4 linked regions of the Rhinolophus ferrumequinum genome follow. The protein of the gene in region 1 purifies or fractionates together with the protein of each later gene. This does not show direct contact. Links are inferred from orthologs where the notes say so. Each region holds a gene or a part of one and is shown on either strand. Other genes may lie near its edges. The genes, in order: CRK, NEDD9, DOCK5 and MAP4K5.

The links.
Region 2: the proteins of CRK (region 1) and NEDD9 purify together in Homo sapiens (affinity purification with western blotting; 3 studies listed by BioGRID). This does not show direct contact. The link is inferred for Rhinolophus ferrumequinum from reciprocal best matches to the Homo sapiens genes CRK and NEDD9.
Region 3: the proteins of CRK (region 1) and DOCK5 purify together in Homo sapiens (affinity purification with mass spectrometry; 3 studies listed by BioGRID and IntAct, with this or other methods). This does not show direct contact. The link is inferred for Rhinolophus ferrumequinum from reciprocal best matches to the Homo sapiens genes CRK and DOCK5.
Region 4: the proteins of CRK (region 1) and MAP4K5 purify together in Homo sapiens (affinity purification with mass spectrometry; 4 studies listed by BioGRID and IntAct, with this or other methods). This does not show direct contact. The link is inferred for Rhinolophus ferrumequinum from reciprocal best matches to the Homo sapiens genes CRK and MAP4K5.

What each region holds. Positions count from the first base shown.
Region 1 is NC_046304.1:16,425,167-16,432,093, reverse strand, and holds the start of CRK (adapter molecule crk), read right to left. Parts: upstream 3,016-6,927; 5' UTR 2,866-3,015; coding exon 2,625-2,865; intron 1-2,624. UniProt on the Homo sapiens protein: Involved in cell branching and adhesion mediated by BCAR1-CRK-RAPGEF1 signaling and activation of RAP1.
Region 2 is NC_046292.1:82,820,928-82,828,840, reverse strand, and holds the start of NEDD9 (enhancer of filamentation 1), read right to left. Parts: upstream 3,008-7,913; 5' UTR 2,761-3,007; coding exon 2,731-2,760; intron 1-2,730. UniProt on the Homo sapiens protein: Scaffolding protein which plays a central coordinating role for tyrosine-kinase-based signaling related to cell adhesion. As a focal adhesion protein, plays a role in embryonic fibroblast migration.
Region 3 is NC_046301.1:41,911,911-41,918,772, reverse strand, and holds the start of DOCK5 (dedicator of cytokinesis protein 5), read left to right. Parts: upstream 1-3,853; 5' UTR 3,854-4,077; coding exon 4,078-4,120; intron 4,121-6,862. UniProt on the Homo sapiens protein: Guanine nucleotide exchange factor (GEF) for Rho and Rac. GEF proteins activate small GTPases by exchanging bound GDP for free GTP. Along with DOCK1, mediates CRK/CRKL regulation of epithelial and endothelial cell spreading and migration on type IV collagen.
Region 4 is NC_046289.1:41,696,460-41,704,042, reverse strand, and holds the start of MAP4K5 (mitogen-activated protein kinase kinase kinase kinase 5), read right to left. Parts: upstream 3,009-7,583; 5' UTR 2,859-3,008; exon of another isoform or gene 2,810-2,858; intron 2,585-2,809; 5' UTR 2,477-2,584; coding exon 2,369-2,476; intron 1-2,368. UniProt on the Homo sapiens protein: May play a role in the response to environmental stress. Appears to act upstream of the JUN N-terminal pathway.

The sequences.
Region 1 (6,927 bases):
CACACTGTTCCCTAATAAAGTCCTGTTCCCCTTCTCCAATAAAATCTTTAAAAAATAAATAAAACGTTGAGAATTCCTGGTCAATTTTATCCCTAAGCCTCTAAAAACCGTATCTAAGCCACACATTCTACCTAGGTATCATGCCCACAAAATACATTATATTACCCTAAGCAAAAAAGCTCCCATTTCCCATATTTACTTTTCCAAATAAGTAGGAGTTTAAAAGCCTCTTCATCATTGATTTTAGACAGATGTGTACTGTCTGAACACCAAAGCCAGTTTCTTCTTGCCATCCTTTTCTTTTGGTCTTCAGGCAGAACCTGGGACCCCAGTACAGAGACAAATATGTTGAGTCCTCTATGTACAACACTGCTGGGACCTCACAAGTAAACTGGCTTTGACAGAAAGGAATACAGTGTAATAGTGTCAGCTCTCAGGTCAGAATTCCCAGGTTCGAATTCTAGCTCAATATTTACAAGTTGTGTGACCAAGCAATTGACTGATTCTCAGTTTCCTCATCTATCAAGTGGAAATATTTTAATAAATGGAGATCCCAGGACATTCCTCACTAGATTGTTACAGATAGTAAATAAGGTAAGGCACATAAAGTGCTCGGCCAAGTACGTAGCATAGAACAGCCAGTCAGTAAATGTTAGCTATTAATATTGTATATGCCTTTCTGAAATTCAAGAAATTCCTGTGTGGTTTCAAAGGAAAAAGAGCTTGATGGGGGAAGGTCAGAAAAAAGATTAAGTAGCCTTTATAAAGAGAGCAACCGAACCACCTGCCCTACATGTAAAATAGGGTCCATGGCAGAAAGAATTACCACAATGCCCATGAACTTTCCACACCCCATCGACAAACTGTGGCAATCTTTACCTTCTCTCTTGGGCCAAGGATCTGAACTCCTCTGTTATGAAAAGGTGGAGCTCAATATCAAACACTGAGATATAAAATCATAATGCCTAGGTGTGGAGAGAGCTCAAACTAAGAAACCTGCCTGCCGCCATTTCCAAATTTTGCAACCAATAAAACACATATACAAACAAGGTTGAAAATTGAGTTTCAGTGACAATTTGCCATCGTATCACCGCACTGTAACAAAAACCCCTAGATACCATGCATGTGGTAAAAAGTAGACTATCGCTGGTATAGGGCAAATGTTACATCAATATTTCCATCTCATGTTATAATGCTATTAAACCAACCAGACTGAGAAAGACCTAGGATAATTTGTGTACTTAAAGATCCCACACTCTTTTTAAACTTGGTTTCACACTCTTTTTAAACTTGGTTTATGTTAAGAACTAACAGACTGACTATCCTTTCTCCCCATTTCTGGCCAGAGTATATAAATCTAAATTAAGACAATCCTAAAAGGGTAAGTCTGCAAAGCTGGGCTCAGGAGCCTCCTAATTTACTTGAGACTGGCTTGGTCTTAGCTGGTCAAGAGGCAAGTGCTTCAATTTGGGAACAGTGAGAAGGCACAAGGACTCTTCTTGGTGCTGTTAACACAGGTAACGGTCACCTCAGAGTCACTCTGTCCCTCCCAAAGCGCAAGCACTAAGTGCATAAATGTCCCTAATATTCCCCCAACAACTCCAATGGCAGGGGTAAGACAGTCATATCGCATCCATCCTTGGCAAGGAAGACTCAGTGCTGATCATTTAAATTCTCAGAGCATCTACCCAGCAAGGTCTGTTCCCAATATCTAGAAAGACTCAGATCACAGCCCCAACTTACTGGGCAAGAAGAGGCCCTCAAGTACAAGACTGACAATGCTTAAGTCCCAGGAAAAATGAAGTTCCGTTCACTTTCAGAGAAGGGATTGTTTCCATTGGCTTATTTCTGGTTTATTTCATGAAAGAAAACAAAAATCTTTCCTCCACTAAACACTGAGAAATAGAGCCCCCGAATTGCGGAGGGCAGTCTTCTGGACACTAAGATCTCTTGGGTACAGTCATCCAGGCATCCACTTATTCTGGGCTGGCCATACAGGGCCATCTATCACCAAGGCACTGAGCTCACCACCTTCGTCCTCCGCGAGGGAAGAGGACGGTAAAAATCTTTTGGAAAAATGCCCAAGAAAGGAAAAAGCTGAGCGGTTTCCTGAAGGGTGTCTCCATCCCTCCAGGCCAGTATGTGGTGACTTCCTACCAAAGGCCACCAGGGGAGTATAGCCAAACCCGGCTTCCTAGCATGGCAGGAAATGTTTCAAGCCTAAAAAGCCACTTGTAGGATTATCGGATTCATTCTGGGCACCGCTGCCAAGTGATGCCCCCGCAGTGCCAACATTCCCCTCAGCTCTTTGTCCCCACGTTGCCTGGCCCTGCCCTTGTGCCTGGCCCAGGCGCTAGCCCCACCCTGGGGCCGAAGCAGTTCCCCTTCCCCTGGGCTGTCCTTCCAAGTCACACCCAGAGGCCTGGGTCAGCGGCTCCTCCTCCCCCACACTCCCGCTGGTCTGTGGGAACCAGCCCCAGCAGCAAGCCGCCCCCTGCCACGATCACACCAGCCCTCTGTCCACGTCCTTCGTGGGGATCAGCTCGCGAGGAGCAGCCGGCAAGGCTGGGGAGTTCCACGGCCCTCACCCCCGCCCGGGGCCTCCCGTCCTGTCCGTCCCTCACCGGGCGGAGGCTGGGCGGGCGACGGTGGCAACGGTGGGCGCGGGCCGCTGCTGTTGATGATGTAGTGGGAGACGCGCGAGTTCTCGGAGACGCTGAGCACATAGTCCCCGGGGCTGGTGCTCGAGTCCCGCACCAGGAACACCCCGTGCCGTTGGCCCTGCAACAGCGCCACTGCCTCCTGCCGGCTCAACCGCCCCCAGTACCAGCTACTCCGCTCCTCCGAGTCGAAGTTGCCCGCCATGGCTGCCTCCGTGCCTACACGCTGGGCCGCCGCCGCGCGCGCCCCTCCAGCCCCGGCGCCCGCCGCCCAGCGGACCGGCTCAGGTCTCAGCTTCACAGCAGCGCCCGAAATGGCGGCGGCGGCCGCGGGCCTTCCCCACCGGAAATGACGCGCTCCCTGCCCTCGGGAGGATGCCGGGAAAGGGACCTCCGCCCGCCATTGGGAGAAGGGCAAGGGACGGCTCGCGCGCGTATTGCGCATGCGGTCTCATGGGCGTCGCCCCCTGGCGGGGACCGGGACTGCAGAGGATGGAGAGGCGGAGTCCAGGCCAAGGGGGTTGGGCCTCAACCAGCCATCCACAGAAGTCTGTGTCTGCTGTTGGCTACTCGATTCTTCTTCGCTCCACCAGGCTTCAAGTTACTGGAATGCCCAGGACTTCAAGGCAGCGACTCCGAGACAGAATTGGAATAGAAAAGATGATATGGACCCACGGACTCAGCTACCTGAGACGGTCTTTTTCTGACACTTCCTCCAGCTTCTCCCTCCCCAGGCTACCTAAAGCTCTTGTTTTCATTGAGTCATTCAGCAAACGGTTATTGACACATTTGCCCTGTGGGTACAAAGGTGATCAAGGCTGAGTCCTACCCTTGCCAAATTCACCAGTGAGGAACCAGGAAACAGTCAATGACAAAGGAATGCCAAATGCTATGATCGGGAACAGACAGAAGTTCTAAGAACACAGAGCCGGGCCCCCTAATCCAATCTGTAAAGAGATCCAAGAGGGCTTCCCAGAGGAGGTGGCATGACCTGAATATTGAATGACAAGGGGGAAGGGCATTCAAGACAAAGGGAACAGAGTATGCCAAGCCAGGTAGAAGTATGAAGTTGTCCTCTCCATTGAGGCTCTCAAGTCATCCTATCAGATTCTTCTAAACCCTAATTTTGGCCATGAGTGTCCTCCACTCTCCCTGCCATCATGACCATCTCTGTCTCTACATTCCATATCTATATCTATATTCCTGTGAACAGCTTGCTCATTGGTGCTCACAGCTGCCAGTGTTCTCTTCCTAAATCACAAACTTTTAACACTCTCCAGGTGTTAAAACTCCCAGTTTAGCTCACAGCATAAAAGTGGGCCACAGTCTCAATTACTTTTCCATGAACCCTGTGTTACTTCTTTCTGGATTGACCTTCCACTCCTTTTGGGATCTCAAACTCAAATGCCCCCCCCCCTTTCCTGACCACCACATCACTCCCTCTCTGCATGGCAGCACTATGTTTCTGTTATATTATCTCCATTATAGTTCTTACCCAGTGTACCGTAATCTTTCATTTACAGGTCTGTCTGTGTTCCGTGCTAGAGTTCTTTGAAGGCCAAGCATCCCCATAAATGTTACATAATAATGGCTAACATTTATTCATATTATTCACTAGATGCCAGACATAGTGCTGCTTTTATGAGGATCATCTCGTTTAATCCTGTCAACAACCTTATGGGTTGGTATTTTACAACTATCCTCATTTTACAGATGAAGCTGAGAGAGGTTGAGTAACTTGTCCAAAGACACACAGCTGCTGAATGGGGAGCTGAGATTCAAATCCTGGAAGAGAGCTATGGTCACTTTGCTATATCCTCAGATGTCTGAGATAGGAACGGTGGGAGTGGCAGGAAGGGAGAGGATGGTGGAAATAGACATTAAAAAAAAAGAATTAGTCAGCGCTGGGTTATGGTCTTACATGAATAACGCACTTCTTCTGGACACACGTCACACACCCCTGGTCCTGCCTGGGAAGGGGAGTGGAGCAAGGGCACCTTCCCTGTTGTGGATGACTCATCATGACCCTGGCTTAGTCACAGCAGGTCACTACAAGCCAGCAGCAGAAGCAGCCCCGTGTGAATTCTGGCCCTCTGGGAAAGAGAAGTGCCTGCTCTTCATTTCCCAGGATTGCCAGGCTTTGAGGCAGAACCTTACCCAGAGACTACCTGTGAGGTTCCGAAGCCATGCCTCTAAGCCCCTTCCCTAGGATACATGGGTATGATGGGGAAAAATACTTTAAAAGACGAAAGAGGGGTGGCCGGTTAGCTCAGTTGGTTAGAGCATGGTGCTAACAACACCAAGGTGGCTGGTTTGATCCCCACATGGACCACTGTGAGCTGCACCCTCTTTAAAAAAAAAAAAAAATACAAAGAAGAAAGAGGGAGAGAGAGGCAGAGAGAAAGAGGAAGGAATGAAAGAAGGAAGAAAAGAAGGACAAATCGTAACTGAGCTGGAAAATAAGAAATGAGATTGGCAAGGAGGGGAGCCACAGCCCCAAGCAGCTACTCAGTGTGTTCTTCCTTGGAGCACAGAGAATCTACTAATTCAGAGGTCAATAAGGTGGGAGCAGGAGTGGCCTTGGGACAAGCAAAAGGCAAGCCCACGCTGCTCCTCCCTCCTTTCTCTTCTCCTCCTCTCCCCTTCATACGTCAAGATTTCCAGCAATAATGGCACCTTTTGTCCCCCCTCCCCCCCCACAAGCCTGAGACCTGCCCTACAAAGAATGTGATCTTCTTGCTTAGGAAGGGCTCCTGGTGTTGGGTGGTGTGGGAGGATGGGGAAAGTACCCGAAGGAGAAACAGGTGAAAAGGGGGGAAAAGGGAAGTCTGCCCTGTTTAAGAGAAAAACGCACCAAAATCCTCCATTCCCGATCCTCCTAACCAAAGAGAGGCATTCCCTATTTTAGCAATGGAGGAGCAGGAAATCAACAACCTGCTCGCCTGCCTGCTCTGTGTTACCTAAAGTGACCAGAGTTGCCTCATTCAGCTATGCAGCTTGTGCACGGCCCAACTGCAGGGTGCTACATAAATGGGGCCGTCTGGAACTGGGCTATTCATACCCACTTTTTCTTTTAACACAGGCAAGCAGAAAGATTATTTGTATCAAGATAACAAAAATTATTATTCAGAGGGAAAACTGACAGTATTCCTTTCCAAAGTGCTTGTGAAAAAGAGAGAAAAGTGGGTTAGTGTGTGTAGACAAAGTTTGTATTAGTGGGAAAATACACGTCTGCCCTGTTCTCATTTACATATGGGGGGGAGAGACAAAGGAGACAGAGACATTTCCAAGTCTCCGCTGGAGTTTGTAGACTGTGAAAAAGAAGGATGCCCCACCCCCAGTGGGTAGCCCTTAGTTGTGCAAAGAGGAGAACCAGTCTTAACATGTGCAAAGATAAGATCTGGAGGCAGACACCAGGGGAAAGCTCTGGGGAGAAATGTGAGAGGACTCCAAGGAGAGTCTAGAGGAGGAGAATGTGCTGGGAACCAAGGCAGGAGGCCAGACCTTCCCGGAAAGGTCAGTGAGATGTTCCCAATGGCAACATCCTGTAGGACACTGAGAATGAGTTGTCTGCTTGGCTGCAACGTAAACCCCCTCCTTGCCCCCATCCTTCAGGAGAGCTGCTCACACAGAAGCCTTTTGCAGGGAGGAATCCAGGAGCAGGTGCCAAGTTCCTTGACTCGGTCCTCAAGGAACTGAGAAAATCAAGAACATCTGAGAGAGGTGAGATGGAAATGCACCTATGTTCTCTCCCTGTCTCCTCACTCTGCTCATTCCTCTCCAGGCCCCTCGGACCTTCTTCCTTTTTCTTTAACAAGCTGCCATGCTTTGAGAAAAACTTGCTGTTCCCTCTGCTGGAAATCCACAGTCACCGGCTTCAGGTCCCTGTTCCAGTGTTGCCCTCTCACCGAGGCCTTCCGTCGTCTCCAGTCCATTTGAAACTGCAAACTGCACACACAACTCTCCCTCTCCCCCTTCTCTGCTTTATTTATTTTCCTAGCACTTACCTCGCTCTAACCCATTGTTTGTTTTACGTATTTGTTTTATGTATTGTCCTCTCTTCCCTTCTAGAATATAAGCTCCATAAAAGCAGAGATTTTGTTCTTTTTTGTTCTTGCAATATCCCATGTATCAAGCCTATCTCAGAGAGCCCGGCACATTAAGTAAATGTTGGTTGAGTGAGGGAATGAATGAATAAATGGAGTCGGGTGGAGGCTCTTGTGTAGAGCCAAAATTAGCTTCCTACATTTGGCAGCTCTCTCTTGGA
Region 2 (7,913 bases), on another chromosome or scaffold:
ATATTATCTTCTGGGGAAACAGTAGGGACACAGGAATGTTTAAGTTTGTTTGAATGATCTAAGATTCTTGCAAAACAAGCAAGTCCCAAGGAAATCAGGACATGTTCTTTCAAGAACCTCTAGAGAAAGATCAGGTTATGGTCAAAAGAAAATGAGTAGATTAGAGTCCTTACAGGTTTCATTTAGTTTCTCATCGAGGCAATGTCTTATTTTGGTTTTGCCACATTCACGCATGTGTGCAGTCACTTAACTCACAAAAACTTGTCAAATCAAATCAATTAAAACTGAGTTTTAATTTTTGTTAATAACAACAAAAAAGTCTCACCTTGCAGGATTGTAAGGGAGGAGAAGATACAATGAAATAAAAGCCTCCCCAGTTATAGGAATCCGGCCTTCTCCATCAAGGTTGTAGGGAGTAAGTGTATGTAGCAGTTGGTGTTTCTGAAGGGAAAATTTGATCAGGGTACATGGCTCATTCTTCACTTTTATTTCCTCCTCCTTGAAAAGTCATAGGTCTCCAGGAAAATTGCTGGAGACTATATGCTTTTTCCTTTTTCTGTACAACCCTATACCCTGGGACAAACTCACTCACATTTGATTGTGGGTTAAATCCTAAATTTTCATGTTAACTTATTTAAAATGTTTCCGATTGGTTTCTCCTTTTCTATTTTTTTTAAATGCAAACCTTTATGTATGGGAAACTATAGTACTGTTTTAGAATTTAACTCTAAATCTTCTGTGGGAACAGAATAAAAACTATCACCCAAGTCTGTTTCTGCTTCCTGAACACAAGAAGCAGCAACATAAGTATGCTTTTAGTGCATATGTGATTGCAACATCAACCTACAAAGAATAAAAAGGATTCAGCACCTGCTCTTTCAGACAATGATGATTCATACAATGATATGACAGCAATATAGACCAATGGATAAGCATCGAGAAAGAATGACATTTATCTGATCATTTTGTATTGGTTTTCATTTGTTGTGGGTTGTCATTTGGAACCACCAGTTAATATCACAGCATCTTCAACCATAAGTTACAAGCATATGGTTAAGCTTGTTAGATAAAATACAGAATGACCAGTTACATTTGAATTGCAGATAAACTATGAATACTTTTTTTTTGTTTGATAAGTATATCCCATGACATATTTGGGACATACTTATACAAGAAAATATTTGTTGTTTATCTGAAATTCAAATTTAACCGGCAGTCTTATATTTTTATTTGCTAAACCTGACAACCTTACATGAAGAGAAGCAGTATTACTGCCATGACAGCCATCTGGAACAAGAGGAGAATCCCATCGGGTCCCAACGATGACAGCAACTTCCTGTTAATTAGGACACACTCACAGCATACCTAGCTTCTCTCTCCCCACGGAGAGAGGACCTCGTACCATCTCCAGCCTGCATCCTCTCTAGAAGCTCAAGTAGGTGGAATCTCCCTGGTATTAGTGCTAGCTGAGAGTTGCTAATCGAGAGTATTCCCATCACCTGAGCTGTAACGAGTGTCATTTCACTTTAGCGAATATTTATTAAGCACATATTTTGTAAAACAGTATGCTAGTCTGAGTCTCTTTTCTCGAGGAGTTTAGAGTCCAAAACTGAAGACTAATATGTCTATAACTGATGCTAATTCAAAGCAACATGGGAAAAGACACAAATAAAGTGCTACGAGATCTCAGAGAGAGAGAAATAAATTCTGTGAGGAGTGGGAGATAGTAGAAGAGGTCATGGAGGAAAGAATGGGTGAGCGGGGCTGGGCAGTGAAGGAAGATTCTCGGTGGGTAAAGAGGCAAGCCAACAACTTCCCGTGCTGAGAGAATGGAACCACCAAAGAGAAATAGGACTGTGTGGCCAGAGAGGGTCTTTCTTCCATTTCAGGGGAGAATGATTCATTTATGTGTTGATTCAGTAGGTATTAATTGAACACCAAGGCATACGTTAATGTAAATTTGCAACTGTGGAAAGAGCTATGAAGAAGAGATACAGGTACCATAAGGGTCGTGTGTGAGGGATGACCTAGTGAGGGACAATGTCTGTGTGAGAGAGGCCGTGATTGAGCTGAGCTCTGAAGGGAGAAAAGAATTAACCAAATAGCAAAGGGTGGTGATGGCCTGGGAGGAAGAGGACATAAGGCAGATGACACATGTACAAAGGCCCTATGGCAGAAGGGAGCAGGAGGCATTCAAGGAACTAAAAGAAATCCAGTGTGTTTGGAGCATAGAGAGTATGGAGGGATATTATGCTTGAGAGGCAGGTAGTGGTTGGATCCATGTAAGTCCTTTGGCATCTGAGGCATCTGGGTCTCGATGGATCAGCAAAGTGAGAAGAATTTCACAAGTTACTCTGTGTGGTTATTGCTAGAGGGTGGTAGGATACCTGGTATCGTAAATGAACAGTAGCAGTTTGACAGAGTCTCAGGGAGATATTTCAGGCCTTAGAGGGGTAAGGGAATGCAGGGTAACAAGCCACTGGCTTGGCTTTTCAGAACCACCTTTCCATTTTCAGATACCTGACAAGGCAGAGCCCTTACTGCTTGAGCTGGAATCTACCTATGGAGGCCTTCGGGGCACTAGCATTTTTTTCTCCCATTGGTTAACCTTCTGTCGAGTGTACCTGTGGCAGGAGGGCAGAATGGTTCTATAACTTGGCAAACTCTTGGAACCTCGTTAGCCCACTCCAAAACTATAGGGGCGCCTCTGCTTTTGTTGGCTGTACTCACCAAACAATTACCAAGACGCATAGGTGCCATGTCTTTCACAGTATTTTTTGATATTTCTTTCTTGTATTAGACACTTGTCACAAACCCTGTAGGTTCAAAAGAGTCCTTGCAGTAGTCTTTCAGTATCAATGAGTATGAATTTATGTAGGTGACCTTCTATGTTGTGCAAACTCAGAGCAGCTCCCAAGTGGATGGCGTATTTGCTGACTGATCCACTTTTGTGCATCTTCCAACTTTATTGCAGGCCAAATCTCCCTTTGAGTGGCACTGGTCAACCTCTGAGTGTGACGGACATGTGCTCAGGAATGCCAGGAAACAAGGCAAAATTTATAAGTATAATGGGTCACGTTGGCTCTGAGACCCTTGGGAAAATGCAAAGTATGGCCAGTGGACTCCTGGTTCCAGACCAATACATTTTTGGGGGGCCATCAACCACATGGAACTTATTAATGGTGGTTAATAGATCCTTCAAATGGTACAGCCCAGGGTTTTCCAACTTTGGCACTATTGAAATTCTGGGCTGGGTAATTCTCTGCTGTGGGTGCTGTTCTCAGCATTGTAGGATGTTTCACAGCATCCCTGGCCTCTACACATTAAATGCCAGTAGTAGCCCCTGTCCCCAGGGGTGACAACCAAAAAGGTCTCTAGACATTGGCAAATATCCTGAGAGAGCAAACTGCTCTGGTTTAGAACCCCTGGTGCACTCTACACTCCTCATTTATCTAATGGGAAAATTGGGATCTGAAGTGGGAAGGATGCTTCCTGAGGGCCCATGATCCACGGAAATAACCTTGGAAGTCATCCTCAGTAACCCAATTCTTGTCTGGGCCAGTCTCTAATACTGACTATTTTTCTGAACTTTGCTTCTTTCTGTCAATGTCCCCACTCTAGACACTGTTCCTTACCCCTTCCCTTTTGTTCTAATTTTATTCTTTCTTGGCTCTTCTTGCCCCTGAGTTCTGCCTCACTAAGAGATTTGCAAAGTAGAATTCCAGTCCAACAGAAGAGCTGACCTTAGGCAAAAAAAACTCTAAACAGGATGAGAATTGATGCTTTTCATTTCTGCCTTCCCAGCAGCCCCCAGAGTGCCAGGCACAATGTAGATGCTGTGTGTGTGTGTGTGTGTGTGTGTGTGTGTGTGTGTGTGTGTGTATAGTAACTGAGTCACATAAAAGTTTATCTTTCCTATTCCTTATCTCCTATTCTAGTGATTAGTCCCTTGCTCATGGACAAGTGTCCTTATGTCCATCTGTTACTTTTAAAACTGATTCACACCAATATATAAACAACTGATAACAACTGCAAATTTTCTACAGAGTGAGCGTATCCTGAAAGAGGAAAAGGGCAGACGGAAGGGCCTCTGTTATAGCAGTGTAACTGGTTGCACTCTTGTAGCACATAACTATGGACCTTTTCTTTTTTCTTTTTTTGACCTTTTTCTAAATGGATCATCTAAAACCAAAGTGCAAAGTAAAGGTAGATCAAATCACGTGTCATTACAGCATCCTGTAGCATGCACAGCAGTCAATTTCCTGGTGCAACTACGTTTTTAAAGGACTCAGGGCATTAAGCTCTGGCATGCTCTGAGGATGGCATGTGCCTATCGGGGAGGCTCAGAGGCTTAACCAAGCCACCAAAATGCTGCTTGCACATCAGCCATTTTCTTCCCAGGAGAATATTATGAGAACTGGGCCCCTCAGATGGGCTCTGTTGCAGAAGGTGTGAATGCTATTCTCCGAAATTAGCTTATAGCAAGCCTCTCTTAATGACCTAATGTGTTTGCCATCAAGAATTCGAAGGGAAGTGGTTTGTGGGTTTTAAAGCATTTTTCACGTTAAATTTTGTGTCAATTGGTTATTGGTCTGAGTAGCGATTTTGCTATTTGATTTGCTTTGGAAGCTAGTTCACCATCTGCTTTCATTGCCTGGAATGTGTACTACAGGTTGTACGTTTTGAACCACCTGAGTCCATGCGAGTTGTGACATCCCACTAGTGACTGCCACACTTCCCTTCTAGAGTGAGTGTGAAGCTGAGAGAAGTCATTAACCTCTCCTAAGGGGCAATGTCTGTTCAAGTTGGAAGACACAAAGTCATACATTTTTCAGGCCTGATTGTGCCTCAAAGCAAGGTAAAGCTGGCAAACGTCTGGGGGAAAGGTTATTTATTACTTCATAGGTTTCTGGCATTGCAGATGTTATTTTTGTCGTAAGAGGAGCTAGAAGAGCTGCAATACGAAACCAGAAAACGCACACCTCATTTCTCTCTGTTGGCACTCGGTGCTGCTGGTGTTTTTCTTGGAGATCCAGTGAAGTCTCTTTGTTCAGCATTGAGGGGGACCTGGAAACAAGACCCAGCTCGGGGCAGTTCATGTGAAGGAGCTGGGCATGGCTTCTAGGTCAGAAGCGAAATGCGCTTGCCCTTTGTGCTACATCGGTGGGTGTCCCTTCCTCTCCTGGCTCAGTGACCCCAGGCAAGCTGAGGAGGCTTACACAATAAGACCCTCTGGCAGCATGAGGGTTCCTCCCGCTGCCTTTGCTCTGATAGCCCTACGGGAGTGTTGTTTCTGCCGGTGAAGGTATTCCTGGAGGGCACGCTCTACCTGGAATCTGGGTACTCAGAAACATTTTTTCCCCCAGTTAACCTAAGTTTAAAGACCTTTTACTTCCAAAGGTTGACTTGGAAGATGGGCAGAAATGGTGAATCCCAAGTTTTTAAAAAGGCAAATCATTTTTCAGATTCCTGTAAATTGTCTGATCATGTACTTAAAAACAGCAGGATCCTATGAAAGTTTGATGTAATAGGGTAGACTTTGAAGATGAGTTTCAATCCTGTCCCCCAAAACCAGTATGACAAAGAGGGCCATCATGAACAATTTTATGAGTACGTGTGATAATTTAATCTTAGAGCTCTAGGCACGAGATATTATTAGCAAAATCGACTGTTTATACAATGGAGTTTTGATGCTCTTATTCAAAGCAAAAAAAAAAAAAAAAGACACCCTACAAAAACAATACGCAGACACGAAAGTTCTAAAACATGTTCCCTTACCCTTTCTGCAGTTAGAAAAACAAGTCGTGTCGTTAGGAATAATCAGCATAATTTCTGATTCTCCGAATGACAGACATAAATATTGTTTTAAGATAGACTGATCAAACAGCCATTTTTACATCTAGGATAAGGACATTGAAAACGACGCCACTAAGATCGCACCTTCTGAGAGGTCAGATCAGATGATTGCCTACACGGTATGGTATTAGGTAGGGTTTCCAGGTGGGAATTCCTGCCCTTTCTCAGGAATTTTTTTTGCTTTCCCGTTCCCAAATCCCAAGAAAAGTTGGTCAGGGAATCGGGAAAATCGGCTCCTTGAACCCAGTAGTACCCACGATGGGAAATAAATGTACTACTCACAATGTTTCTCTTAGACATTTTTCCTATTTATCGCTAGGGTTTCCGGGCAGGAATTCCCACCTGTTCTCGGGACTTTTTTTCACTTTTCCATTCCCGAATCCTGAGAAACGTTGGTCGGGAAATTGGGAAAATCAGCTCCTTGAACCCAGGTGGTTTGTAGTATCGGCCGTCACTTTGTGGAAACGATTCATCATGAAGCACAGAAAACAGTTTGTATCTCAGGATTCAGAACAGGAAAGTGAAAAAAGTTCCTGAAAATGGGCAGGAATTCCCCCCTGGAAACCCTAGTATTAGGAGTACAGTGATTGTCCCTTTAAAACAAACACACATGAGGGCAACCAAACAACAAGAAATCCCCATAGAAACAAGACTTCTTCCCCATCTGCTTGCCTCCGTGTCAGAAACTGTATCATTAGGAACTCATTCATTTGGTGTATGGCACATAGCTTTTCCTTTCAAGTACAGAGAATCCTATAAAGAGGAGTTAAATCACTGTCACTTACATTATAGTTCTTTACGTTCCTCCAAGCTTAGCATAGCCATCCATGTATAGAGAAGAGTTTAAAAATATATGTTGGTGGGTTGATAGTAAAAAACAGTAGAGGGTGTACATGCAGAAGCTCCCAAAAGAACATCTTCCTCCTCATAAATCTCTGTCCAGTGATGGAAATACTTGGGAAGACAGTCAACTGAGGTGGTGAAAAACAGGGACTTCAGGCAGACATTGCCACTTAAAAGTTGTGTGCCTTTGGGTGAATTGCATAATCATTCAAAGTTTCTATTTGCCCATCTGTAAAACGAAGTCAATAATATGTATTTCATAAGGTTGTTGCAAGATTAAAAGAGATGTTGAATATAAAGCCACATAGTAAATGTTCAATAAATGAAGATTGGAAAAATGAGAATAAAGACGATGATGATTCTTCACCCCACTCACTGTCACCCCAGTTGTAGCACTGAGTAAACAGACTCACATTAACTGACTTAGAAGTGGTAGAAGTTTAGCAACAGGATTCTGGGCACCTGGGAGTAGGGGCAATATTGAAGAGGAAGGATATATAGAAAGTTTGCCAGTAAGAGAAGACAAACTATTTCTCAGTTTTTGTGGGGGATGAGTCTTCTTCACACCTACTATCAAACTTTCTTAGTGCTGTAGGATATGTGGTGTGTGTGTGTGTGTGTGTGTGTGTGTGTGTGTGTGTGTGTTGCAAAAGAATTCTTCCTGGGGTTGGTACTCTATAATTTCCAAAATTTGATTGTACTCCGGTTGGCTCACTGCAGGGACAAAGCATGAAATGTTATGAGTTATTTTTTAATTACTATAAAAACTAAGCCAATTTGAAAAGTAAGCTCAGATGTGGTATGAAGTTTGTTGTGGCTGCTAGCCGTTTACTTTTTGGCAAGATATGAGATGGCTGAGCAACCCAGAATCTTAAAGCAGTAATGATTAGTGATGATAATGACAATGAGAAAATAAATCACATTTGTGTGGATCTTTTCAGTTTGCCTAGCATTGTCATGTTCGGTGTCTTGGTTTATACAATTCTGGAATATAAGCTAAATAGAGGAAGTTATTATTTCCATTTGATAGATGGGAAAACTGAGATCTTGGGAGGTTTAACAACTTTGTTAATGAAACCACAGAGCCAGGATGAAAACCTTGGTCTTTGGATTTTTAACTTATACTAGATATTAGTAATAGAGGTAAAACAATAAAACTTAATAAAATAATTGTTATTCTCCCATATTTATCTTGATTTTCATTAGCTTATTTA
Region 3 (6,862 bases), on another chromosome or scaffold:
GAGCATTCTAGAAACAAAACTGAAAGCTTTTTGCTGTGATCATGAAAAGAGTGAAAGTGCTTACCAAGCATGAATCTCACAGGGAATGAGGACAGGAATAGCTTTGGAATGCTGACCATCCTCTCCCCATTCATCAGAGAAACTGGACATACAAAGCCACGTGGCAGAGCTAAGGACAGACTCAAAGGTGCTCACCCCTCAAGTCATGGGGTGCGGGGCAGAGAGTCTACAGTGATGTGAGTTTGTGACGTATATAAAAAAGAGGTTTCTAGGGCTGTAGAGATCAGCTCCTTTGTCCATTTACCTCAGGGCTCCCAAATTACAATGAATCACCCCACTCCTAACTTACAGAGAATCACCCTGTCCCAAAGAATTTGCCTTCAGAAGATTGCAAAGTGGTGCTTCGAGTCAATGACATTCCTTTTCCTTTTTTTTTTTTGCTAAGTCTAGCAACTACACTCTCTCATATCTCATATGTAGGATCAAAGAGTGAGTCTCCTCTATCTAGAAAAACAAAAGATGCTCTTTCACTGAATCCACAGCGTCTCTCGTAGAAGCCATCCAGTCAGCCAGACTTGGCGAAGTCAACCTGGTAATCAATGGAGGAAGTGATGTGCTTGGCAGTTTTGTTGACATCCATCTAGTCTCAGTCATTATAAGGGATAGGCACAATATGCATGGCAAACTACCCTTCACATTCATTTATCCTCACTGCTTTCTCCAAGGCGCCGCTTCAAACAGAACACTCGTGTTGGTGTATGCCTAAGTATGTTTGCATTTGTGTGGGTTTTGAGTCGAATATCTCTGGTTGTAAATACGCTTAATGTTTCTTCTGAAAAGAAATCAGAGGAAAAGGAAAAGGATATTTCTGGGAATCAAGCTGTTATTCCACCTACCCATCTGGTTGACTCTCTAATTTTAAGCCTCATTTTAATAAAAGACTTTGAATAGCACTGCTTTTATGATTTAAATGGCCTTTCCAATTGAGATTTAACCATCTGATATAACAAAGTGGGTGGACTTCAGTCTTCAGAGGAAACAGAATAAACATACTCAAAGCTGTAATTTAAATTTTCCATTTTCCTCCAGCCCTCTTAACACAATTATTGTCAAACTTGAAATAGCCAGGGCTTAAATACAAACCTCAAGTTTTGCAAAAATCTTATAAGGCAAGGGTGGGGAGAGGTAGCTGAAATCATTTTGGTAGAAATCCAGTTCCACTGGATGAGCATTGAACACTCTGATGTGTATTAAGTTTACAATATATCCATGGTTAGAGAACACTGGACATCCAATCGTCTTGAACACGGAGGATGGAAGAAACTTTGTGAAGCCCCATCCCAAAATGCTTCAGTTCCTAGCATTGTACATGAAGGAGTTACCGAGGAAGGTATGAAAAAGTGAGTCCTAAAGAAATATCAAAAGAAAACTTTAGTACAGAACAACTTGGATATAAAGGATAAAGATGAATTAGACATCACAGATGACCAAAAAAAAGGCAACTCTATGTTCCAGTAGCTCAAGCCTCAAATCTTAGGGTCATCTTCGACCTATCTTGTGCCTTGACCCAGGGACAAGATCCAAGGTTTGTGGGGCCTGAAATGTATATAGTGAGGCTCTTTTTTTTTTTTTTTAAAGAAAAGCATTATTTAGGGGGGCAAACTTTCCAAAAACATATGCTGATGAAAGTACCCTGAGGGGTCCAGAAGCCTCAGTCATTTCCCCTGTCCACACTGCCTTTCTCTTGGTTCTACCTTCAATATATTTCAAGAACCCAACCTCTTTCCCACCTCTCCACCTACACTCCTGGACCCAACTACCTTCATTTCTTGCCCCAACTCCTTAAATTGCCTTCCATCCTTCTGGTCTTTTCGCATCTTCCCTTGTGTCTTTACACTCTGCTTCTCCCACAGCAGGCAAATTAGATCATGTCCTTGGTTGGCTCAACACACTCCAAACCGCTCACAGTAACAGGGAAAAGTTCTTACTCTGCTTTCCAAGTTCTTACTATGCTTCCCATGTGGCTGGGACTACGTTTCCTCCCACACTCTGCTCCTTACTCACCTGTCACCACCTGGTATTCCTTGATGTTTTTGGAACCTGTCAAACATGCTCTGGGCCTTTGCATTTGTTCTTCCTGAGTCCAGAATACTTTCTCTGGAATCCTTACTTCCTTCCTGTCTGGATTTCATTGTCACCTCACCAGATCAACGCCATCCCACATGCCTTGCTAACCCAATCACTATAGAACAGAACCTCTCCCATCCTCCTTGCTGTGGATTTTTCTCCACAGACATAGCCTCTTTGGGCATACATTCATTTGCTTATTGCCTTCATCACTTCTTCTAGACTGGAAACTCTATGATGAGAGGGATTATACTTTATTCATTGCTGTGATCCATTCTTAAAACAATGCTTGACATATAATAGGTCCTTCATAAATATGTGTGGAAAGAAGAAATTACCTAACCTGGGGAGTTAGGTTAATCATGATGGCAGAGGAAGAGAGAAATTTCCGGGGAGATGGTGGAATTCCTTCTGTTACCATTGGCAGAGAAAATAATCCTCATGTCCCTTCCCTGTATTACTTCTAAATGTTAGGTTTAAAGTGACAGATTTCTTAACTTATTATGACACTTTATGGGTAAATACCTATTTGCGGATGAAGTAGAAAGTAAACCTAGAAGTTAGCCACCGCGAACAGGACCTCTTTTTAAAAACTTCAGATCTGACTTTGCAAAATGCATGAATTCTTCAATCAAGTTTTACTGTTTATCTTCCTTTCTTTTCATGTTCCAAATAGGCAAGAAAGCCATCGCAGACTGCAGGGACAAAGTTTCTCTCAAATGTCATTTTCTCAGACGGTGAATATAAACCAGGTGGTCATTTACTCGGATTTTTACTTCCATGTGTGAATTAAAGACCTCCCCACCATCCACGCTTCATTCTTGAGGTCTCTCCAGGAGGAAGTGAGTTCCAGGAGGGCAGTTTTAGAGGGCAACAACAGGAGCCTAGGGCACTTCAAAAGAGCATCCGTGCGTTTGGCTCTTCGTTGAAACAATACAGTCAGTGAACCAGAAGACTTGGATGTGCCAGGTCCCCTTCTCCGTAGGGATGGTCTTTGCGCGGTTGGTCTGCTGGAAAAGGGAGGCATTGGGGCGGGCTTTTCCCTTGAGCATGAGGGTCTGAGTTCCCCCGAGGCTCTCCTAGGAAACCATTTAATACGTCCGAGGAGCCCGTCTGCCTTGTATCTGTTGTCTATTTACCAGAAGACACACATGTTCCTGCTTTGAAGGCTATAAACGGTGGCCACAGGAGATCAAGTCTGTCCTGGAGTCCGGCTTCCGGCTCGCGTGGTGTCAGTTAAAGCTCTAGGGGGTGGACGCAGTCGTCAACTGCTCATTCATTCAACAACTATTTACTGAGGGCCGCCGAGTGCCGGGCACTGGAGGTGTCCCGGGGGCGAAAAGCAGCTCTTACTGGTACATTGCGGTGCCCCCGGGGCCCCGGCGCGCGCAGTGGGGACGCAGCCCGCGCTCCTCGCCCACCCAGGGCCCGGCCGGCCGGCCTGGGGGGGCCCAGCGTCCCAAGCGCAGCCCTCCAGACGCCGGCGCCGGGGAACCCGCCCCCACGGAACCAGCCTGGAGGGTTGCATCCCGGAGGGGAAGGCGGGGGAAACGCAAAATACCAAAAGTAAAGCCCAGACCCCAGTCTGCACTGGGAAGCTGCTCCGGGAAGTCGGCCAGGCGGAGAACAAGCTGGCCTGGGCCGGGGAGAGCGGGCGGGAGAGGCCGGTCCTGGCGCGGAGGCGGGCGGAGGGCGCGGCGGGCGGGAGGGGCCGGGGCGGCGCCGCCGCCCGGCCCAGCAGGTGACCACGGGCCGGGCCGGAGCCGGAGCGAGTCCCGGGCGGGCGCGGGCGGCACAGGCAGCGCGGAGCCGATCCGTGGGGTCGCGGAAGTTTACCGGAACATGGCGGAGGAGCCCGGGGCGCGCAGGGGCGCCGCGCGGCGGCGGTGGCCGGCACCCCAGGAGCTGTAGCCGCCGCAGCCACAGCCGCCGAGGGGCGAGGTCGCCGCCATGGCCCGCTGGATCCCGACCAAGCGGCAGAAGTACGGAGTTGGTGAGTGATCGCCAAGTGCGCGGGAGCGGCCCTGTCTGGCACGAAGTTGGGCGGCGGATTCCAGGCACTGGGTGTGCGCGCCGCCCGGGACTGGGGTCCGGCTCCTGCGGCCCCGGGGGGCGCAGTCAGCACTCCACTCCCGCGGCGCAGTCCGGGGGCGGGTGGGGAATCGGAGTCCTCTCCCCGAGCAGGAGACCCGCAGGGGAAGTCACTCCGGGCTTTGGGAAGCCGAGTGACTAAAAGTGCATCTGGGCTCCGGGACGGATCATCCTGTTCCCGAACCCAAAGCTCAAGCGCCTGGCATAGTGGAAACGTCAAAGGCGAGGGCGCTCGCGGGTTACTCCTTTAGGGGCCCCAGCTTCGGTGCTCGCGCCCCTCCTCCCCACCGTGCGGTTTCATTCAGGAGTTTGTAACCCGCGGAGGACCGCTGAGTGCTGCTCGCTGTCCAAGGGCTTTCTGCCTCCCTCTTCTTCGGTTCTCTCTGAAGCCCCAAAGTGAGGAGTTGGAGGGTAACAGTTGTGAAGTGAATGGGAAACTCAAGTTGTGTGGATGTGATGGAAGAGACAGGCATTTTGTGACATGGAACGGGGGTGGTGCCCCCCGAGGCCGGGGCTCATCCCCTAACGGAGTGTATGGAGAGGGTTAACGACAGCCTTCTGAACCCCGAGTTTCGTCGCAAAATCAGATGAGGACACTTTATTAGGGAAACCGTGACAGATCCCGCGCTAGGCACCTGGCATTCGTAGCAGCGGTGCGGGAGGGCTCCCACGGCGCGCGGAGGGAGGGGTTGCTGCTGTGTGGGTTTGGATCCGAAACAGGCGGGGTTTTGACCCAGGTGGAAACCGTGGTCCTTCGACTTTCCATTAAGGAGAGAGGTTGCTCAGGTCTCGTGGGGAAGCTCTGCCGTAGGGGCGATTAGGAGCGACGCTCCAGTAGAAACACAGATGTGTGCGTTGAGAATTTTATCGCTTCCTCTCAGGTTCATTCATTTGGCCTGTTTGTAATCTCATCGTTTACTTCACTCCCTTCCGCGCCCCCATTTTTCCTTCCTCAATGGTGCCTAGGACAGATCCCTGAACCTAGTTAGTACTTTCAGATGGCGAAGTGATTTCAGAGATCCGCTTACTATCTCCAGATGCGGTTCAACTCTGTAGCCAAAGCAACAACAAACCCTCTCATGTTTACTATATTGTTCTTAGATTGTGATCCTTTTTGTGTGTGTGTGTGTGTGTGTGTGTGTGATAATACATGTCCATACTATTCCTTGTTTTTCCCCTATTCCCAAAACGTATTTGATTTTTTTTTCTTTCCTTTAAAGTGCGATTAGTACAAATCCTCGCACTCTCCTGTGGCTACAACTCAGAAATCGTTAGGTGGTGTTTCTCCTGCCCCAGACCACCCTGTCATGATTTGCTCATGAAGCTTCAGAAAGGGACGCTTAGTCAAGTGCCAGTTAGTAAGTAGTCAGTAGTTACGGAAGTGAAATGGTCTAAAATAAACCATTTTGAGTATTATCCAGTACTAACTACTAAATTAAATCATATTGAGCAGTGCCTAAGTGTTCATTACTACTTACAAAATGGTTCTCAATTCTCATTTTGCTTACCAGGATAAAAGCTGTTTGCAAAACGATTAGGCCTTTGGTGTAGTTAATGCAATCATATCCTACAACTGTGGTTTTTAGTGCCACAGTCATAGGAGCAAGTATGAGACGTTCTCTCTTTTTTACCCTGTGCTGGATTCAGGTTACCTTGTTAGTTTCCATCAGTCAAGGAAAGTATTTGAATTGCATTTCCAGGGCATAGGTGGTAGCAAAATTGCCCCAAGATATAATTTTTGACACTCGTGTCACTGGACACAATAGATTCTGATTAATCTGTACTTGAGGGAAGGACCCACTCTTAGGACAGATTATCTGACAATAAATCACCATCGTTTATTCCTAAAACACATTGTTACTCATATCACCTCTCTGCTTAGAAGCCTTCCTTGGCCTACAGGGTAAAGTCTAAACTGAGCCCAACTTTCAAGTTTCCCATAATCCAATTCAACATATCTTCACTGACGTTATCGCTCTCACTGCTTCTTTCATTAACCCTCCAGTGCAGACACTGCCCTTCTGGCTCTTGCGCAATGTGCCACGGAGAGTCCCTCCTTTGGGACTTTGCCCCCTTCTGCTTGTCCCTGTTCAGATTGCCCTCCCACCTTTGCATCCCACAATGCAGAATTTCCCTTAGGGCTCAAATCCCTCCCCTTTGCCACCTTCAGATTTGGTATTCACCAGACCTCACACCTTCATACCTCTCCCTCACAATTCCTACATTGTGCGATCCCTTATATTATTACTTATCCTCTTATCCTTGAATCCAATGAACCAGAAGGTTATGGTTTTGTACCCCTGTCACTCAAGAGATATGCTACCAGGTATAGGGCCTTCCTGTAGTAACTGCTTGTCCTTCGTGTTGAGGTGACATCCTAAAGCACTAGCCTAACTTTTTCTGTGAGGATTTAAAGCTGGTTTTTCTCTATTAGGTTTTAGCATCTCATTCGCTTCAAGATGAGGTTTTAGCATCTCGTTCACTTCCATATGAGGTTTCCTTTGTTCTGTTAGATGGACAAAGTGAGAGCCTTCAGTCTGTCTTTACCTTTGCAAGTAAAAATGTGACATGTGCTGCTGAGAAACAAGGAAGCATAGAATAGATGGGCTTGTTTCAATGTAATTGGGAAAATTGGCTTGTTGGG
Region 4 (7,583 bases), on another chromosome or scaffold:
CATATGCCCACAGAACTAGGTGATAGAATTACTGATATTCATTCATTCATCAAATTTTTAGAAAGCACTTATTTTGTGCCAGACATAATTCTAGGTGCTATTTGACACAGAGCAGTGAACAAAACAGATAAAACTCCTGCGCTCATGGAGTATGTATGTTAGTGGATTGAGATAGATGATAAACAATAAAAAATGTAAAACATTATGCTAAATGGTGATCAGAGCAAAGGAAAAAATAAAGTAGGAAAAAAAAGATGGAGAGGGTATAAAAGCAAGGGAAGGGAGGCAAGCCATGTGGCTGTCTAAGGAAAGACATTCTGAGCAAAGGGAATAGCAAGAACAAACACCCAGAGGTGGGAAGATGCTTATTATGTTTAAGAAAGAGCTAGCAGACCAGTGTAGCCAGAACAGAGTGAAGGAAGGGGAAGAGTAGTAGATGAGGTTGGAAAGATCAAGGGGCTGGAGCTTCCTGGAGGAATATCTGAGTAAGACTTTCATGGACAGGTAGGATAGCAACAGGTGGAAATGGGAGGTGATTTCAGGTAATTAGAAGAAAGGAAAACAAAAGACAAGGAACCGAGTTGAAGATGTTTATGAATCAGAGGCTAGACTGAGAGTATATGTAACTGTGAGAAAGCATGAATGTGAGGGAAGGTGATCGTGCGGAAGGGGTGCCATTGAAGGTGGTATATGATATTCAATCTTTGACCATCTGTTTAGGAGCTGTGGAAGAGGGACAAAGAGCAAGGAGGCCCCAGGGTGAAAGAAGAATTAGCTGCCCCTTTAATATAACCTTTTGAATTCCCTTGCAAAAATAAAATCCTGCTCCGGGTAGCTGCTTCAGTTGCTGTTATTTATAAAGGAAAAGAGTAGAGGTCTTGGGCTTTTAGTGGGGCAAACACTTATATATGGATTAAATAATAAGACAAAGATGACTAAAAAATAAGAATGAGAAGGCAAACAGGAATTTCAATTTTTTAAAGAGCATTCCACAACATGACTAATTCATAGATCAACAATTAAGAGTGAGCTACCTCTAATTCTACATAAAGAAAAAGAGGATTATGTTATAATTATCTACTTTGAATTTGAAAGTATACAAGGCAAGAGCTGGGACCTACCTCACAATTCAAAACCCCTTATCTAGAACAGTGCTTAGTACAGAAGATTTAAATACCTGCTTAACAAATAAAAAGCCAACCCATTACAGTCCATCTCAATAGAATCAAACAGTGCTAGAGCTGTCATAACACCACTCGGAACTGTTAGTATTAACAGAGATGATATTAAACCAAAGCAGAAAAGCAGAAATGTTTTCCTTCCACATTACCACCTGTGCAAAAACAACATAACCCCAGAAGACTCCACTGGTTAATTACCCACATAACACACAAGGCCCTTTCAGATACATGCAGGAGTGTTATTTGGAATGATGGGATACACACATACCATGATTAAATCCAATAAATAAAGCTGTTGCAAAATCAAAGGAAATTTCCCTTAATATACCTATATGAGTTGCATTATTACTCCCTTTTGGAACAGAACAAAAAGCCTAAGGCAATCTGAAACAATCTCCTTCCTCTTGATCCTTGAAGAACTAACTCAGTGGACTTAGGGAATTGGGCTTGCTTCTCTATGATGTTTTCTTAAGTCCCAAACTAAGAGAAACTCACCCTCATCGTGGGTCTCAAATAATGCAAAAGATCACAATTAAAAAGACAGCAGCTCTCATCCACTCTTGATCATGGGATGCTATAAATCCCAGAGAGGAACTGCTGAAGTAGGAAAAACAAAACAAAACAAAACCCATTGACCAGATACAAATGATAAAACTTCTGCCAGGAAAAGCATCTTTCTGCATAGGATAATGTTTGTGCACAGATCACTTTGATCCAGTATTAGATTGCGTACAGTTAAAATTGAGATAAGGTTTTCATACGACTTTTAAAGTCAAGCTCATCCATTTTAGTTTTTTTAAATGCAGATGCCAATATGTCAATATTCTTTCCTGTCTACTATCTTCCATGAAGGACTTCTCCATGCTAAGACTAAATCATTCTCAAGTGCAACTCCATAAGCAGGTTCGAACTCCCTTCAGTACGATAAAGAAGCGTTAAAATGCCTTTATACCACAAAAAAAGGACAACAGTACTTTGCAAAAGTATGTTTAGTTCTGCTTCTTGGTAGCGATTTGAGCAAGCAATGCACGGAGTGAAAGGGATCCCGGCCGCTGTATCTCCACGATGCAAACAATAAAAGCATCCTCCCCCCTCCTCATACTTGGCCAGAAAGTGGCCCTATTCCCGAGAGCCAGCCGACCGCAGGAAAAGCGCCCGGCTCGGGGCCGGGGCTCGGTCTGCCTCACCTTATAGACGTCCCCGTAGGTGCCGCTGCCGACCCTCTGGACGAGCTCGTAGTCCTGCTGCGGGTTCCGCCTCAGGATGTCCGTGGCAGGCCGCAGCGGGGCCTCCATCTTCGCTCAGCACCCGGCCCCCGCCGGTTCTGCCCGCGGCGCCCTGTTCCCGCTAACGAGGACGAACGGCGCCGCTTCCCAACATGGAGCCTCTGCCCGCAGCTCCGCCTGCACGAGGGACAAGCAAAGGCGGGTCGGCGCCGCGGGCTACGACCCCGAGTGGCCCAGCCCCTTCCCTTCCGCCCGGCTGGGGGCCGCAAAAAATAGGGCCAGTAAATAGGTCCCCGGCGCCCCGCAGCCCCGTTTTGGCCGCGGCCGTTCCCCCTTCCCCGCCGCCTGCAAACTGTCTGTCCCGGCCTCCCCGCCTGCCTGGTCCCAGGGCCGGCTGGGTACCTGAGGGGGGCGGCCCCTCTCTTTGTTGAGCGCCGCGCCCGGGACCTACTTCCTCGCCGGCGCCTGCGTCCTGCTTTCCAGCGCCCGCCGCCCCAAGCCTTGTGCCGCCGCCTCCCGCTGCACCACACGTCCTCTAGCTGGCGGTGGAGGCGCGTACGGTCACCGCCACCGCCGCCGCCGCCGCCGCCGCCGCCGCCGCCGCCGTACCACGTTCCCCACCCGGGGCTGCGTCACCCGGAGACACGTTCCCGGCCAGCGTGGGTCGGCGCCCAGCGGCCAGCCCGAGCGCGCCGGCCGCAGGACCAGAGTGCCGCCCTGAGGCCTGGTCGGGACACGACACCCTGCCGGCCGGGCCACCGCGCCCCCGCTGGCCCAGCACGTCTTTTCAGGGCCCAGGCTTTACTACCCTCTCGCAGAGATTAGGGACGCCCCTGGGCATTTGTGTGCCGATAGGCCGCCGCTAAACTGCCCCAGATTCGTCAGGTAAACTCGGTGACGGGTAGAGGGGGAAGAGTGGGCACGAGGCGGCTGGGAACGCAGCCCTCCCAGTTCAACACGGAAAAGGTACGTTGAGGGCACTGGGCCAGAAGTTACCTGGAAGTGGGGCGTCAGGCAGGAGATGGGGGCATGCCAGGTTAACTAAACCGCGGCACACCCTACTGCACCTTCCTGTTTTGCAAACCTTTCTCAGTGGTACCAGTTTAAGGCTGCACAGCACACCTGCCCAACCTGTCTTCTACTGAGTTTTCCGAGCCATTTCCTTGAATTCCTAGGAAGTCTCCATGGCCTTTATTCCTGTTTTTCACACGCAGTGTCTCCTAATACCCTCTATAAAGGGAGTGTTATACGCCCCTTTAATTGGATCAGAAGTTCTGCAGAAGCTAAAACAGTCAGAGACCTCAGCCTGGTTCTGGTTCTACCACTTCTTCAGTGTATTATCCGGCACAAGACATCGTATTTGGCAATATCTCGATATCCTTGTCTGCAGCTTAAAGAGGATAAGGTTTTGCATCTGACATCCGACAAAGTGTTTATAAAGCATTTTACAGGATTATAAAGAGGGTTATCAAATATAAGAGGTTTTAAAGTACTTCACAAAACACAGAATATCAAACAAATTCGGGGGAAGTAATTTGGTTGATATTTCACAAGCTGGTTTGCAGTTTCAGTTCCAGTCTTGTTTTGAAGGTAGAAATAAAGTTGCCAGATTTATGTATACTGGCAAAGGTATTTCTAGCACCCAGTAGGGGTTTTGAACAGAAAAGCCACATAACACTCAGCCAATGCATTTGTGACTGAAAAATCACAAAAGAGCACGCTGCAGATGTTAGCTTATGGCTTTGAATATCCAATTCAGTTCTGTTTTGGGGCAATATGCTCCTGTTGTTGATTATTATAATCAATTGTATAATGTAGGAATTAAATTCACACCTTAGCAGGACAGGGAAAACATGTATTTTCTTGTGTTCCCTGCACAAAGGGCACTTATTTAGGGAACATAAGTAAGCTCAGACTTACATGCTCTATGGACAAAGCCTATGTGTTTGCTGCATTGAAAAAATTGTTGAAGAACAGTTCCTTCTTTCAAAGCTTCTTGGCACTTGTTTGGGTGGGCACATACTTTTGGCTTCAATGACTCAAAATCGTTTCAAATGTTCTATTGGTATCCTAGTACTTGTTTACTGTCATAGATTTTTTTTTTCTTTTTTTTTTCCTGTGACCCTATAAGCATTGATCTTTTCTCTAGTCTGAAACATATTTATTCTTACTTATTTATGCTTGCATTATTCCACAGAGAATTTGGGGCATCATACAAAAAATACATACTATAACACAAGACAGAAATAAGTAAATTAGGAAATAGATATGATATTATAGAGAGGGAAAATAGGATACCAGAACAATGTAACAAATTAACCAAAATAGAGGGCTTTATAGTGATCACAATGAACCAGTTGGAGATCACAATGAACCAGTTGATCAAGAGAGAGACACACTTTCTTCCCTGATTCTAAGACTTTAGAAAAATTTACCTCATGAGCTTTCATAAAGTGGAAACTTTGAATTCCCAGTTTGAAACAAGGATAAATGTCCTTCTGATAATCCTTGAAGCATGTTATTCTTGAAACACAATGTTTGATATGAATTAAGTAATAAAAAAGTGAGGTCATAGGCTTCAACAAGACCCTGGAGTGCAGATATTTTATGTTGCCAGTAATGGCAAATCCATATACTTTGACCATGAACTCAGAGGCAGATAGCACGGAAAAAGTCAAAATTCTGCGTGATGGTTAAAAACTGTGTCTGCTATAATCATTATTTTACTTGTACCACAGTTGATGCAAAGGGGAAAGCATTTGCTTTATACTAACTCCAAAAGAATCTTAAGGATTTTTAAATAGTTAGTGGTTGAGTTAATTTTAACAAGATCGGTGAAGTCATAGCTAGTGGTTAAATATTACATGGTTGGTAAAGAAATTCTAATTCAATTTCCATAAAATAAACATACAGTGTATAAATTTAATTTTATATTCTAAACAGTTAAACAGATAGGTGAAGGTTACATAATAATAATAATAAAAATTGTAGCTAAAAGGAGAGTTCCTTACAAACTACTCAGTTTTATAATGACAAGGTTTGGAATAAGAATAAATATGGCTTCATATGGCCCTTCATCCCATCTTATTTTCTTAGTGTCTTCATAATATCTGACATGCAAATTTATTCCAGCTTTTACTCTAATCTATATAACAACCTATAATAGTTTTTTCTATGCTTTGTAGCATTTTTTCCTTCTTCAGTAAAATGCTAATTGTAATCTGTGGCTTCTGGTTTTAACTTTAGCCAAGGCTAAATTTTAAAAAACAAGGGACATAAAAAATTTTAACTTCTGTATAGGTAAGATTCACAATTTACTATCCAAGACAGAATGGCTAATTAAACCGTCAAGTGTGAAAGAACAGAACATGAAAACAATAATTTTAGTGTATGGAACATAGAGGTTTAAGCAATACAAAGGTCTGACGATTAAGTTCGCAAACTTGTTGCAACACTGTTGCTAACCTTCTTTGATATCAAAGGGATTATTCTTTATGAATTTGCACCAAATAGACAGTTAGCCAACTTTACTATTTGGAAGTGCTGAAAAGGCTGTGGTGAAAAAGTTAGATGACCTGAACTTTGCACCAACAATTCATGGCTCATGCATCACGACAATGCACCAGCTCACACGGCACCGTCTGTGAGGGAGTTTTTAGCCAGTAAACAAATAACTGTATTGGAACACCCTCCCTACTCACCTGATCTGGCCCCCAATGACTTCTTTCTTTACCTGAAGATAAAGGAAATATTGAAAGGAAGACATTTTGATGACATTCAGGACATCAAAGGTTATACGACGACAGCTCTGATGGCCATTCCAGAAAAAGAGTTCCAAAACTGCTTTGAAGGGTGGACTAGGTGCTGGCGTCAGCGTGCACAGCTTCTCAAGGGGAGTACTTCAAAGGTGGCTGTAGTGATTTTCAGCAATGAGGTATGTAGCACTTTTTCTAGGATGGGTTCGTGAACTTAATTGTCAGAACTCGTATAATCTGATGAATCTTCCAACATAAATTAGTTGCAAAATGTAACTATATGATTGAGTTGAATGCTCTACAGTTTTGTTAAATATAAATTAAATGTTGGAAGGCATCGGCCATAATTATGATTTGAATTTTCAAATAGTTAAACTATTCTTTCTCTTACTAATTAGGCCCAGTTGTCTGTTGAGGCAAAAATCATGTTCTCAAAGTACGGAAAGGAGAATTCTATTTTGTTCTGGATAGCCATAGATCATGTATATCATTTAGAATCAGTATCAGGTCATTACGATGGGAGTTTTAAAAAGAAGAGTTGAGGAAGGCAGTGCACATTGCTTTTTCATCCAGCTTGAATTACTCGCCTGATATGTTAAAATGCTATTTCCATTACCCTGATCCCCATGGTAGTTTTAAGATTTATATGAGAATTGGTATCAGGGTTCCTCTATTCAACTCATAAATTGGTCCTGTCTGCAAATTCAATAACTAAGAAAATTTCAAATAATCTTATGTTCATTATCAATTTCTACATAGCACAATGAGTATAATATTCAGAAGAGGCGTCTAAAGTTTGCTTATACCTTATATATAGGCCAGTGTTCTGAGAACCTCTAGTACTCTGTCCTACAGCTATAACAGCTCTTGCAGGATTCTAACAAGCTCTTCTTCCTTACCTAACCTGTAGGGCAAGGATGATGATGGCTTCCCACTGTTGCTAGTCTCAGGGTGCTTCCCTATCCCTTGTTGGTTCCTTTAACCATGTCCTCATTTTTACAAAGTCCTTTCATTAGATTCTCTTTCTGTGCTACCTCTTTCTTGCCAGAACCCTGATTGGTAGATGAATTGGAAGTAGCCTCAGGAAGGAAACCTTCGCTTTCTGGGATGGAATTACTGACATACATGATGATTGATTACCTGTATAAACAAACTACTTGCCACAGAAAATGGAACAATGGTCTGCCATAGCATGGAGTGGCATCACAATTACTCAAGTAACTATCAGAGATGGCCGGTGATGGAATGCTGCTCGAGGACACAGCATTGGAAGATCAATCTCTAGCACTTATCTGCTTTGACAGTGATGATTACTAAAATTGTGTTATTACTCTGACTGCCTCTGTGACAATATATGGCAAACAAGACAAATAGGGAGGCTTTAATTCTATACTTAAGGCATGAGTAGAAAATCAAAAAGC